3 linked regions of the Lonchura striata genome follow. The protein of the gene in region 1 purifies or fractionates together with the protein of each later gene. This does not show direct contact. Links are inferred from orthologs where the notes say so. Each region holds a gene or a part of one and is shown on either strand. Other genes may lie near its edges.

Region 1 (3,746 bases):
CCGACACAGCTCATGGCACAGATGGAAAAACCTGGGGTTTGCTCCTGACTTCTTGTGGAAGTCAGTGGAATTTGGGGCAACACAATAAACAAATATTGGCATCTAATACCCAATTGGAACAGGCTGCTGTTTATAGGGGACCGACACAGTTCGTGGCATGGAGGGAAAAACCTGGAGTTTGCTCCTGACTTCTTGTGGAAGTCAGTGGAATTTGGGGCAACACAATAAACAAATATTGGCATCTAATACCCAATTGGAACAGGCTGCTGTTCATAGGGGACCGACACAGCTCATGGCACAGATGGAAAAACCTGGGGTTTGCTCCTGACTTCTTGTGGAAGTCAGTGGAATTTGGGGCAACACAATAAACAAATATTGGCATCTAATACCCAATTGGAACAGGCTGCTGTTCATAGGGGACCGACACAGCTCATGGCACAGATGGAAAAACCTGGGGTTTGCTCCTGACTTCTTGTGGAAGTCAGTGGAATTTGGGGCAACACAATAAACAAATATTGGCATCTAATACCCAATTGGAACAGGCTGCTGTTCATAGGGGACCGACACAGCTCATGGCATGGAGGGAAAAACCTGGGGTTGCTCCTGACTTCTTGTGGAATTTGGGGCAACAAAATAAACAAATATTGGCATCTAATACCCAATTGGAACAGGCTGCTGTTCATAGGGGACCGACACAGTTCGTGGCATGGAGGGAAAAACCTGGGGTTGCTCCTGACTTCTTGTGGAATTTGGGGCAACACAATAAACAAATATTGAGGCTGCCAGAGACAATGCAGGAGGTCACGCTTATCCTTTACAAATATGGAGCTGCCAGAGAGGAGCCAGATCACACTTTATCTTTTCCTTCACTCAGAACCCATCACACAAATGCAAACTGTTCGCCGGGCGAACCTGGGCAAGGCCTGTGGGAGGAGCAGAAGCTCGGGAGATGCCGAATGGACACAGCATCCCCGGCAAACAGAAGCTTTTCGGGGCTGATTTCGCCCCGCGCGGGCAGGCAGAGCAGGCAGGGCGGCGTGAGGGGGGAAGGCGGGCGGCCCCTCAGGCGACCCCCACCTCCGCACGGGTGGGAGGCGGGCGCAGGGAGGCGAGCCGGCAGGCTGGGGGGGCTCGGGGGGCTCGGGGGGCTCGGGGTGGCTCGGGGGGCTCGGGGTGACTCGGGGGCTCGGTTCCGGGCCGCCGCACCGCCCGTGCCCCGCTGCCGCCGCCGCCGCCCCGGCAACGGGGGCGGAGCGGGCGGCGGGCGGGGCGGGCGGCGCGCGCTGACGGCTTCCGGCGGGCGGGCGGCGCGCGGGGGGCCCGGCGGAGCTCGGGGCGGTGCCGCTGTCGCGCTCGGTGTCGTGTCGGGGCTGCCGGTGCGGAGCCGCGTTCGGCGGTGTGGGCGGCGATGGACACGCTGGGCAGGAAGGTGGTGGTGTGCGACAACGGCACCGGGGTGAGTGCGCGCGGGCGGCGCCGGGAGCCGCCCTGCCGCCGGGGCGGAGGGGAAGGGGAAGGGGAAGGCGGGTGGCGCTCCCCCACCGGAGCCGGCCCGGCTTCCTGCCGGCACCGCCCGCCCGGCCCGGCCGCCGTCCCCGCGGAATGAATGGGCGATGGGCCCTCGGCCCGGTGTGCCCGTGCTCCCCGGGCCCTGCGGTGCCCGGCCCCGGCCCTCGGCGGTCCCGATTCCCCTGCGTGACCTGGGCCGGTCCCCTCAGCAGCGCGCCTTCAGACAAAAACGGCGATTTTTAAAAATTCTGAATCAGCGCATTATGCGTTGGGCAGTCAGGATGCGTCCTGTGTCTGCAGGATTATTACTTGAGGGAAATGTGTTTGGTTATTTTATTTTATTTTATTTATTTTTTTTTTTAAGAGCATCATCCTTTCCTCCGTGCCTCTCCGATCTGCCGCGTACCTCCCATAATCGGCATTTTCTAAATGAAAGGTTTTCTCCCCATCCTTTCCACCTTTCCTGGCCTCCATAAGCGTGCAGGCACCGCTGGAAAATCCATCCTTTTGTCAGGCTGTGAAGCACCTTGGCAGGAAGTGAAAAAGATACCATTTTAAAGCAGGAGGAGATCAGATGCTATCGGTGGTTATTTCCCCTCGGTAATTTCTTTTAGCAGTCTAGGTTTCCCCCAGTAAAGCAATATTATGTGCAGAGTTACCTCGATTGGTGGTGCATTAAGATCTCTTGAATGGCAAAAAAAAACAAGGGTTTTTTTTTTATATGAACACTTGCAAAAAAGACTTTTTTTTCTTTTTTTAATAAGCCTAGTAAAGAATATTTGAGACAAAGGATTATTTTATTACAGATTCAGCATCCTAAATTAGGGGGTTTTTCAGTTAGCATCTGAAATTGTTAGAATGGTTCAGGAAGAAGAACATCATATTTGACAGTTTCGGGGTTTGACAGTGATGATGTCTTCATTAACCCTCATATAGCAAAAGCTATCTTTGATAGGGTTAGAATTCAGAGCCTTTGGGCACTTTTTACACTATAATTTAGAGAAAGGAAAGAAAAGGAGATAGCATTTTCTTGTTACAAAAGGATATGGAAGCTGCTTTACGGTTTGTTTGTTTGTTTGACTTCTTTTATTGTTCTTTTTTCTTTAATCTTCCTATTGCGAGGCCCAGAGTAAAAAAAAAAAAAAAAAAAAACCAAAACAAAAAATTCAGAGCTTCATCCATTGGTGTGGTCCTTTATATGGCAATAATCACTGAGTTGTAAAATGTTGAGTGTATTGCTGGTGACAGCAGTGTTGTGCCTTGGCTGGTCTCAGGTGTGACACAGAGGGTAAAAGCAATTTTTCCAACCAGATTTCCCAAGCTGGGTGTGCCACACACATTTCTTTACAGCCTGGGGTATCTGTGCATGCTGTTAATTCCAGACACATCTTGGATCCATACAGTTTTTCCCTCGATGAGTTGGACCAGCAGGATATAAATAACCACAGGAGTGGAAGGTGTCTTTATGGTGCAAGAGGAGCCTGTGTCATTTCAGCCTGTGTGGTTTTGGGTTGTGCTGGGTTTTTGGGCAGAACAATGTGTGCCTGGAAGCCACAGAACTCCTTGGGTGGGAGAGTAGAGTGAAAGAGTGTTTTAATTGTTAAATGAGTCAACTCAAAATGTTCAGATTGATTTGGGATAATTGGACAAGGATTGGGATAACTAATCTGCACAAAAATTCCATTCAGTAAAATTTTTGAGTCTCAATTGCATGTCGAGGTATCAAGTAGTTCTGTATTGTCAAGCCACTATTTTGATAATAATATTTTGCCTATGTGACAAGAAATGTTTAGCATTATTTCTGATATCTCACACTTAAAAGCATGATTGAAATGAAATCGCTCTCCATGTGTCGGAAAACTTATAGGTAAAAAATGGAGAATATCTTTGGAAAAACGGGTGAATTTTTAACGTTAGGCTCGTCTTTGCAATTTGCTGTTCTTGTTAGGCTGCAGTAGGACTCCTGATGCATCAGGCTGCAGCCAGTCTTTGAGGAAGAGGTGAGTGGCTCGAAGGAAGTTCTTGCAACACATAGTGTGGGAGGCAGGCAATGGCACCTCAAAGGTCTGCAGCGTTAGAGGTGGATGCTCTTATTGTTAGAGGCCAAGCAGAAAGTTACTCACTGGCCTGTACAATTGTTGTAACTGTGTTTAGGGTTTTTGTTTGAGTGTTGCATCAGTGGAAAGGATCAAGCAGGGAGATCTGATAAGAGTATTATTATTCATTTTAAAACCAGT
Region 2 (3,746 bases), on another chromosome or scaffold:
TTATTCAATCCTTGGCCAGAAAGGGGAGCTGTAGAATTAGGGAATGGAGATAAGGAGAGCAAAATGTTCCATCAGATGCTTTGAAACAACAGCCAGGAGGGGAGAAGTGCCTCGGTGTCGCAGCAAGGAAAGAGGAAAACATGGATTAAAGGACAGCGTTGGGAGCCAGCGTCCCTGAGCTTTATTCCCAGCTCTGTGTGACATGGAACCATCTCTGTGCTACTTCCAGACCCCAGAATTGGGGTCATTCACAACTCCCCTCCCCAAAGGGCAATAAAATCCACTGTGGTGAGTGAGGGCCCATGCTGACATCGCTCCTGTGCCACTTGGAAAGGCTGGAGGATGCTGGAGATGGGTAAGGAATGGGTGAACATTAGGCCAGGATGTGCATTAATAATTGATGCTATTGTTATTAATGATTTACAATAGATTTCATTGAGCACATCTATTACTGCATCTCCCCACTCTCACACCTTTTATGCAGCAATATTGGTGTCACACACATCCCTCCCAGCTCAGCTGGAAAAAAGGCATCAAAAAATGAGCTTTTACAGCAAAAAGAAACCTCTAATTTCAAGCTAATCTATTTCCTCATGTATTTTTCTCCATCGTTAAACAGGATTGTGAAATATATTTTAATTTCTTTTCTATTTCTGCAGTGAAGGGGAGGTAGGTCCCAATACCTAATTAAAATGTTGGGCCTCCAAATAAACCCAAAGCAATTGCTTGCAACAGATGGGATTTCCTTTGTTGCTGTCTCTGAATGATTAACAAGGAGGAGAGAGACAAGAAAGCAGAACTGAAAAAAAAAAAAAAAGGAAAAAAAAAAAAGCAAAAATAAAAAGCAAGCAAGCTGTATTTTATTTACAACATGAATATTCTGACAATTCCTATCATCCTGAGCAGCAGGAAAAAATCAGGCAGGCAGGGAAGAAGCCGGGGCTCTGGGCAATGATCCCAGAGCCTCACTATTCAACCAGTTTTGAATTCTTTTGCCATCTCCTTCTGTTTCTCTCCCTGCTGTCTAGGATCAGGTTGGACCAAAGGTGCTGGAAAAATCAGAGATATAAGAAAGGAAACACATAAGGGTAAATCCAGGTGAGGTGTTCGTGTTTGAGATTTGGGAAGATCGGTGTTTGACCCAGCTTTTAAAACCCCAACAGACTGCCATGGATAGAGCAAAATGAGAAGCTGCTCTTGCTCTTCTTCCTGCTCTAGTGGAAGATGTCCCTGCCCATGCAGGGGTTGGACAAGATGGGCTTTGAGGTCCCTCCCAGCCTGAATAATTCCGTGAGTTTGTGATTTTTTTTATTGCAACATTTCCACCCTTCAGCACTGAAATATTGTCTCAACACTCCCTCCCTGTTAAAAATGTGTCAGGGGGGATTGGGCTGCAGCTGGTATTGCCTTGGGGAGGGAGCTGATTCCTTGTATTCCTTCTCACCCCCTTCTTGTGCTAGACCTGTTCCCCCCACCTGCTCCTTCCATCCCGGGAAGGATGAGCTGATCAAACATCCCAGTGCCGGGTGTGGCTGTGGGGAACGCTCCAGCTCAGCTGTACCGGCGACACCAGCCAGCCTCCCTCTCGAGGGCTGTGGAGATCCACACTCAGACACCACCACAGAGCCTGGCAGTGCTTGCAGCGACAAATACCTCCCACCACTATTTCTTTACATCGTGCAATGTGTCCTCAGCTGCTTCCTGAGAGCACAGGAGCCGTTTGTCATCCCTGCAGGGGTTTTGTCATCCCTGACAGGCACAAACTGTGCCACGTTCACGCCCCGACTCTGTCGCGACAGTAACAGATCACACCTATTTTTTAAGCAAACTCAGTTCAAAGCCACCACAGATTTCCTGTGCCTTAAAACACTTATTTTTCCTTATAAGGAAATGCACAATTGCAGATTGTCACTGAACAGAAGATGGGAGTTAAGCAGCGTGGGTCGGGTGGCTCCTTGCGGCATCCGAACTCTCACACAAACACTCATTTCTATCCCTCCTATTTTTGCAGAACTGCTGTTTTACCAGGAAAATTTCAACAGAGTTCACTTCTCCACATTTTTTTCGGTGAAAGGGTTTCCAAGTTGATGTCATTCTCCTGAATGGCTTTTTCAGTGAAGTCACAGTGCAGGAGAAAAACTTAGAGAAAATAATGCTGCTTTTTTTAATAGCTAAAATAAAATTGGCTCACCCAGTGCCTGGAGAGATAGAGGCAAATAATCCCACATGGCAGTGGGAGGATGCATCCTATGGACACTGCTTCATATTAGCTGCTGTGAGAAGCAGCAAATTGTACTTATTCCTACACAGGGGTCTGACAAAACAAATCTTTCCCCAAAACAGTTTCACTGCATGAGGGGCTTTGAACCAACACCTGATTCCCATCCTGCCTCCTCAGAGTCCGTGTGCCCTGAGCACATCCCATCTGTCACCCGGCTATTCCCAGCAGCTATTTCCCACCCACGGCAGAGTTCCCACCTGCCCTGGAACTGCGACCTCCAGGACCCCTCAGCCCCACGGCAGAGCCAGGACCCCTCACTGCTCACCTTTTTTGGGCGCTGGTGCTGCTGCCGTCCCCTCCGACGCCTTGGGCTTTTCGAAGGTTTTCTTGGCATCGGCAACTTTAAGCACATTCTCATCCTCCTGACTCTGCCTCCCCTTCCGCTCCGGCTCCTCCGAGCCCCCTCCTCCCGCAGTCCGGCCTCCAGGGAGCAGCTCGGTGCCCGCCGCTGCCCACTGCTCCCTGCCAGCCTTGGCCTCATCGCCGAGGGGCTCCAGCAGCGCCTCCGTCAGCGCCACAGCCTTGCTCATACTCAGAGCCAGGCTCTCCTTGCTGTGCGTCCTGACAGGGGGTGCCGGGGGGGTTCTTTTCGGGATGTAGGAGTCCAGTTCATCAGCTTCACCTCCGAGCTGCTCCCGGCTGTCTGGGAGCTGGCTGCTGCTCTGTCTTGAAAGCTTCCCGGTGTCTCTGGCCACCGAGGGATAATTTGTGACCGCAGGGACCATTCTCTCGAGGCTTTTCACTACCGGCTGGTCTGGCTCGGGCTTCCTGGCCGGATCCTCCTCGCTGGCCTGGCCGTTCTGGCACAGGACAAGTGTTCCATCGGGCTGGGGGGTAAAGCTCCGTGCCTGCCTCAGGCTGTCCCTGCTGCTGTCCCTGGGGATGTAGGAGACAGGTGTGCCTGCCTCCTGCTTGCTTTGCAGGATGTAATCCATGAGGATGGCGTTGCGCTCGAAGCTGTCAGACCTGACAGGCACGGTTGGTTTGTTCCCCTCTGAGGGGCCCTTGGGGCTCAGTTTGGTCACTTGCCTGCCCTCCACGCTGCTTTCTGAGTCCGAGCGGCTCATCTGCCTCCTCAGGACTCTTTCCAAGGAGTTGAGCCTGCTAAGGCTTGGGCTTGCCACCTTCCCATCCCCTGCATAGCCCTCCTGAATCAAGGGTAGCGTGTCCTCTGCCTCTTCCCATTCCTCCTCAGGTTCCGTTTCTGCCTCCTGGATGAGGCGCCGGTACTCGCTCTCCTCCAGCCTGTAGACCACCGGCCTCACCGTCCTGCCCGTGCCCACCCGCCTGGGCACCACCTCCAGCTCGTACACCTTTGGAGGGGCTTCTCCCTCCCGCCCTCTCCTGCGCCCTTTGGACACGGGATGCTCTTCCTGGCACAGCTCCCCTGCCAGCCCCCACTGCCCTCTCTGCCCGCTGCTGCTCATCTCTGACCTCTTGGCAGGGCCTGCAGCGTCGCTCCGGA
Region 3 (3,746 bases), on another chromosome or scaffold:
GCAGCCCCGAGGGACACGGGGTGACGGCAGACCCCCCGCCGCAGGCGAAAAGGGGGTTCAGGCTCCCCGGAGGGCTCTTCATCCTCACCACCAAACTTTCCTCCGTGCCCACCGTCCCCGCACGGTACCGCGCCCGGTGTTCGGTGCCGCACCCCCCACCCGGTATCCCCGGGGCGGCCAGCGCCTGCCGGTACCCCCCCCGGCTCCGCGTGTCCCCGGGGACCGGCGCCTCCCACTGTCCTCCGGTGCCTCCCGTGCTCCCCGGAGCGGCGCATCCCGGTGCCGCGGGGTCTCACCTGCGCGGGGCGGCGGGCGGGCGAGCGGCGGCGGCGGCGGCGGGGCCGGTGCGGGAGCGGGGCGGGGGGAGCGGAGCCGCCCTGCACCGCGATATAAATAACATTATCTGGGCGCGCAGGGACATTCCTACCCGGAGCCGGCGGCGCTGCCCGGCCCCGATAGCCCCGCTCCCCCCGGGAGGGCCGGGCCGAGCCGACCGGGCGGGCGGGGACGGGGATGGGCGCAGGGACGGGGACGGGGACGGGCCGCCCGCCCCGCAATGCAGCACAGCGGCGCCCCCCGGCCGCCAGCGCCACCGGCACCGGCAGCAGCACCGACACCGGCAGCACCGGCATCGGCAGCACCATTGGCGGCAGCATCATTGGCGGCGGCACCGTCCCCTGCAGGCTGCGGAGAGGCGCAGCGCCCCGCCGACACCGGCGGGGGTCCACGGCCATCCCCTCCGGCCGGCCCACGTATCCCCCGCTAGCCCTGGATGCCCCCCAGCTAGTCCCAGGCATCCCTCAGCTAGCCCTAGGTGTCCTCCACTAGCCCTGTGAGTTCCCCAACTCGTCCCAGGCACGCCCTAGTTAGACCTCTGTGTACTCCAGCTCGTCCCAGGCACCCCCTAATTTGTCCCGGGTGACCCCACTAGTCCTGGATATCCTCCAACTAGTCCGTGGTGTCCTCCATCTAATCCAGGCAGTCCCCAGCTAGCCCCGGGTGACCCCCAGCTAGCCCAAGCCACCCTACAATCAGCCCCGGGTGCCCCCACTATCCCCGGATGCCCCCCAGCTAGTCACAGGCACCCCACACCTGGCCCTGTGTGTTTCCCACTAATCGAGAGTGTCCCCCAGCCAATTTCCAACACCCCACAGCTGGCCCTGAATGTCCCCCAGCTAGTTCTGGGTGTCTCCCACTAGCTCTGGATGCCCGCCAGCTACTTTCTGAGGTCTTCCGCTAGCCCTGGGTATCTCACAGGTAATCCCAGCTAGCCCCAGGTGCCCTTCACTAGCCCCAGATGCTGCGCAGGTCACTCTAGGTGTCCCCCACTAGCCTTGGGTGCCCCCAGGTAGCTCCAGGCGTCCCCCACCAGCCCTGGGTGCCCGACTAGCCCAGACTCCCCCCAAATATTCCCGGTTGCCCCAAGCAGCCCCACGGCCCCACAGGCCACGCCCACTTCCTTAAACCACGCCCATTGTCCTCCAGGCCACGCCCACACCCAGCGCCTCGGCCCCGCCCCGCCGCTGAGCCCCGCCCCTCAGCGCAGTTCTCGCGACATTTGCGGGGGAGCGCGGCGCGAGATGTGCGGCGGCTGTGTGGGCACCGAGTACCCGGAGCGGGTGAGGGCGGGAGCGGGGGACACCGGCGGGCACCGGCACCGGCACCGGTCCGAGCCTCTGCTCCCGCCCTAGGGCACCACCTGCCTGGAGGGCGGATCTTTCCTCCTGAACTTCGTGGGGTGCGCGCAGTGCGGCCGCCGGGATTTCGTGCTGGTCAACAACCGAGCCGAGGACCTGCAGGGCGGGGAGGAGATCGTCACTTATGACCGTGCGGTGGGGGGCACCGGGGGGGCTTACGTGGATGGGGGAGCCTTTGGGCTCTGGGGTTCTTGAGGGTCGGGGGGCCTGAGGGGAGCTTTGGGGTTTGGGGTTTTTGAGGGTGACATTTGAGGGATCCCTGAGCCATCCCTGGGGTTCAGGGATCGCTGAATGTTTGGGGTCTTGAGGGCTGGGAAGAGTCGGAGTTCGGGGGGAACCTTGGGTCTTGAAGAATGCTGAAGGCTGTGGAGGGCCTTTGGAGTCTGGAGCTTGGACGATCTTGAGAGTTAGAGAGGGCTGGAGCAAGCCTTTGGGATCTGGGGGTCTTGAACACTGGGGGACACAGGTGGAGGCCTTGAAGGTTGAGGCCTGGTGGTAACATTTGGATTCTGGGTGGCTGGGAAGAACTTCTGGGGTGTGGGGGCCCTCGAGGGTGGGGGCGTGTTGGGGTGGGGGGCTCAGAGGTCAAAGGAGGGAGAGACCTAAAGGAGGATTAGTTTGAGTAGGGAAAATTTGAGGCCCCAATATCTCGGAGGTTCCTGAGGGTGAGAAGGGTGGATGCCCTGTGGGGGAGGGTCTTAGGTTTTAAAGGGAGTATCAGCGAGCTGCAGATGGGCATGAAGCGGGGGTGAGTTGCTCTGATGGGAATTTTGGGGGCTTGATGCTTTGGGGACTGGGACGTCTATGCCCTGGGTGTGAGGGCAGGCATGGAGGACTGGGACTTGCCCCAAGAGATTGGGGAGGGACGATGGCCATGTCCTCACCCCACTGTCCCTTGCCCCACAGACCTGTGCAAGAACTGCCACCACCTGATTGCACACCACGAGTACACCTTCAGCGTGGTGGATGACTACCAGGTTTGTTTCTTGTCCCCTAAAAGCCCTCCTGACTCTGTCTCTGGAATTCCAGATGCACCCTTCCACAGGCTGATTCCTACCTTCCCTGGGACAGAGCCTCAAAGGATTCAGAGCCCCATCCCCATGTTCAGGGCTACCTGGAGTCCCCCCAGCATTAGTCTGTGCCTTGTGGGGGAAGCCCAGCTCACCTGGCATAGGAATGTGGGTGATGGGAGGGGGCTGTGACCCCCATTGCTCATTCCTGGCACATCTCCTATGCAGCAAAGGGCTGGAAAAAGGGCTCAGGGGAGCCGGTAGGGCTGGAAATGAGATCCCCTGGCTCTGATTGCAATCAGGGATCGGGTACCAGCTCTGGCTCAAGTTTCCGTATAGCGGGGGAGGGCTGTGACAGCCCCTCTTTTTCCAGCCCCCCCCTTTTCCTTCCCCCAGGAATATACCATGCTGTGCCTGCTCTGCGGCCGTGCTGAGGATTCCATTAGCATCCTGCCTGACGACCCTCGCCAGATGACCCCGCTGTTCTGATCCCCATGTGTATCCCAGGATGAGCTTCCAGGAGCTCTGGGAGATCCCTGGATCCCTGCCACTGTAATTTCTGGGGACCACACAGTCCCTGACAGGATTTGCTCCTCCAAACTTCCAGCCTGGATGCAGTGAACACCCAACACCGGATGCTCCCATGTTTCTGGAGCCTTTTGGCTCTGACCCTGACTGCAAGGATGGGATGCAGTGCCACGGCCCAAGTCCCCCATGTGCTGAAGACATAAAGGGGTCCCCAAAACAGGATCCAAAAGGATTCCCATCCCATCCTGCCTCAGGAGCCCTCATATATGGAGTAATAAATGTGACGTGTGACAGCTCGGTGGCACAAGCAGGAGTATTTTGGGAGTGGGCTTCGCCCCCTGGAGGTGGTGAAGGGTGTTGAGGGCTGATGGAAGAGGCTTTCTCCATCCCAGGAGCCTGTGGGATTCTTCCTTGGCCCTTCCCAGCACTGGAGAGTCCACTACACTCTCCCAGTGCTCTCCTAAACCCTGGAGAGAAAGGACTTGGATGATTTTCCCTTCCCGTGGAGTTG

The links.
Region 2: the proteins of ACTR2 (region 1) and CORO1C fractionate together in Homo sapiens (co-fractionation; 3 studies listed by BioGRID and IntAct, with this or other methods). This does not show direct contact. The link is inferred for Lonchura striata from reciprocal best matches to the Homo sapiens genes ACTR2 and CORO1C.
Region 3: the proteins of ACTR2 (region 1) and CHURC1 purify together in Homo sapiens (affinity purification with mass spectrometry; 4 studies listed by BioGRID and IntAct, with this or other methods). This does not show direct contact. The link is inferred for Lonchura striata from reciprocal best matches to the Homo sapiens genes ACTR2 and CHURC1.

Annotation. Positions count from the first base shown.
Region 1 is NC_134605.1:1,572,189-1,575,934, forward strand, and holds the start of ACTR2 (actin-related protein 2), read left to right. Parts: upstream 1-1,293; 5' UTR 1,294-1,408; coding exon 1,409-1,456; intron 1,457-3,746. UniProt on the Homo sapiens protein: ATP-binding component of the Arp2/3 complex, a multiprotein complex that mediates actin polymerization upon stimulation by nucleation-promoting factor (NPF).
Region 2 is NC_134620.1:11,362,527-11,366,272, reverse strand, and holds the start of CORO1C (coronin-1C), read right to left. Parts: upstream 2,672-3,746; 5' UTR 2,547-2,671; intron 1-2,546. UniProt on the Homo sapiens protein: Plays a role in directed cell migration by regulating the activation and subcellular location of RAC1. Increases the presence of activated RAC1 at the leading edge of migrating cells.
Region 3 is NC_134608.1:52,503,126-52,506,871, forward strand, and holds CHURC1 (protein Churchill), read left to right. Parts: upstream 1-1,550; 5' UTR 1,551-1,580; coding exon 1,581-1,619; intron 1,620-1,691; coding exon 1,692-1,827; intron 1,828-2,603; coding exon 2,604-2,674; intron 2,675-3,103; coding exon 3,104-3,196; 3' UTR 3,197-3,528; downstream 3,529-3,746. UniProt on the Homo sapiens protein: Transcriptional activator that mediates FGF signaling during neural development. Plays a role in the regulation of cell movement.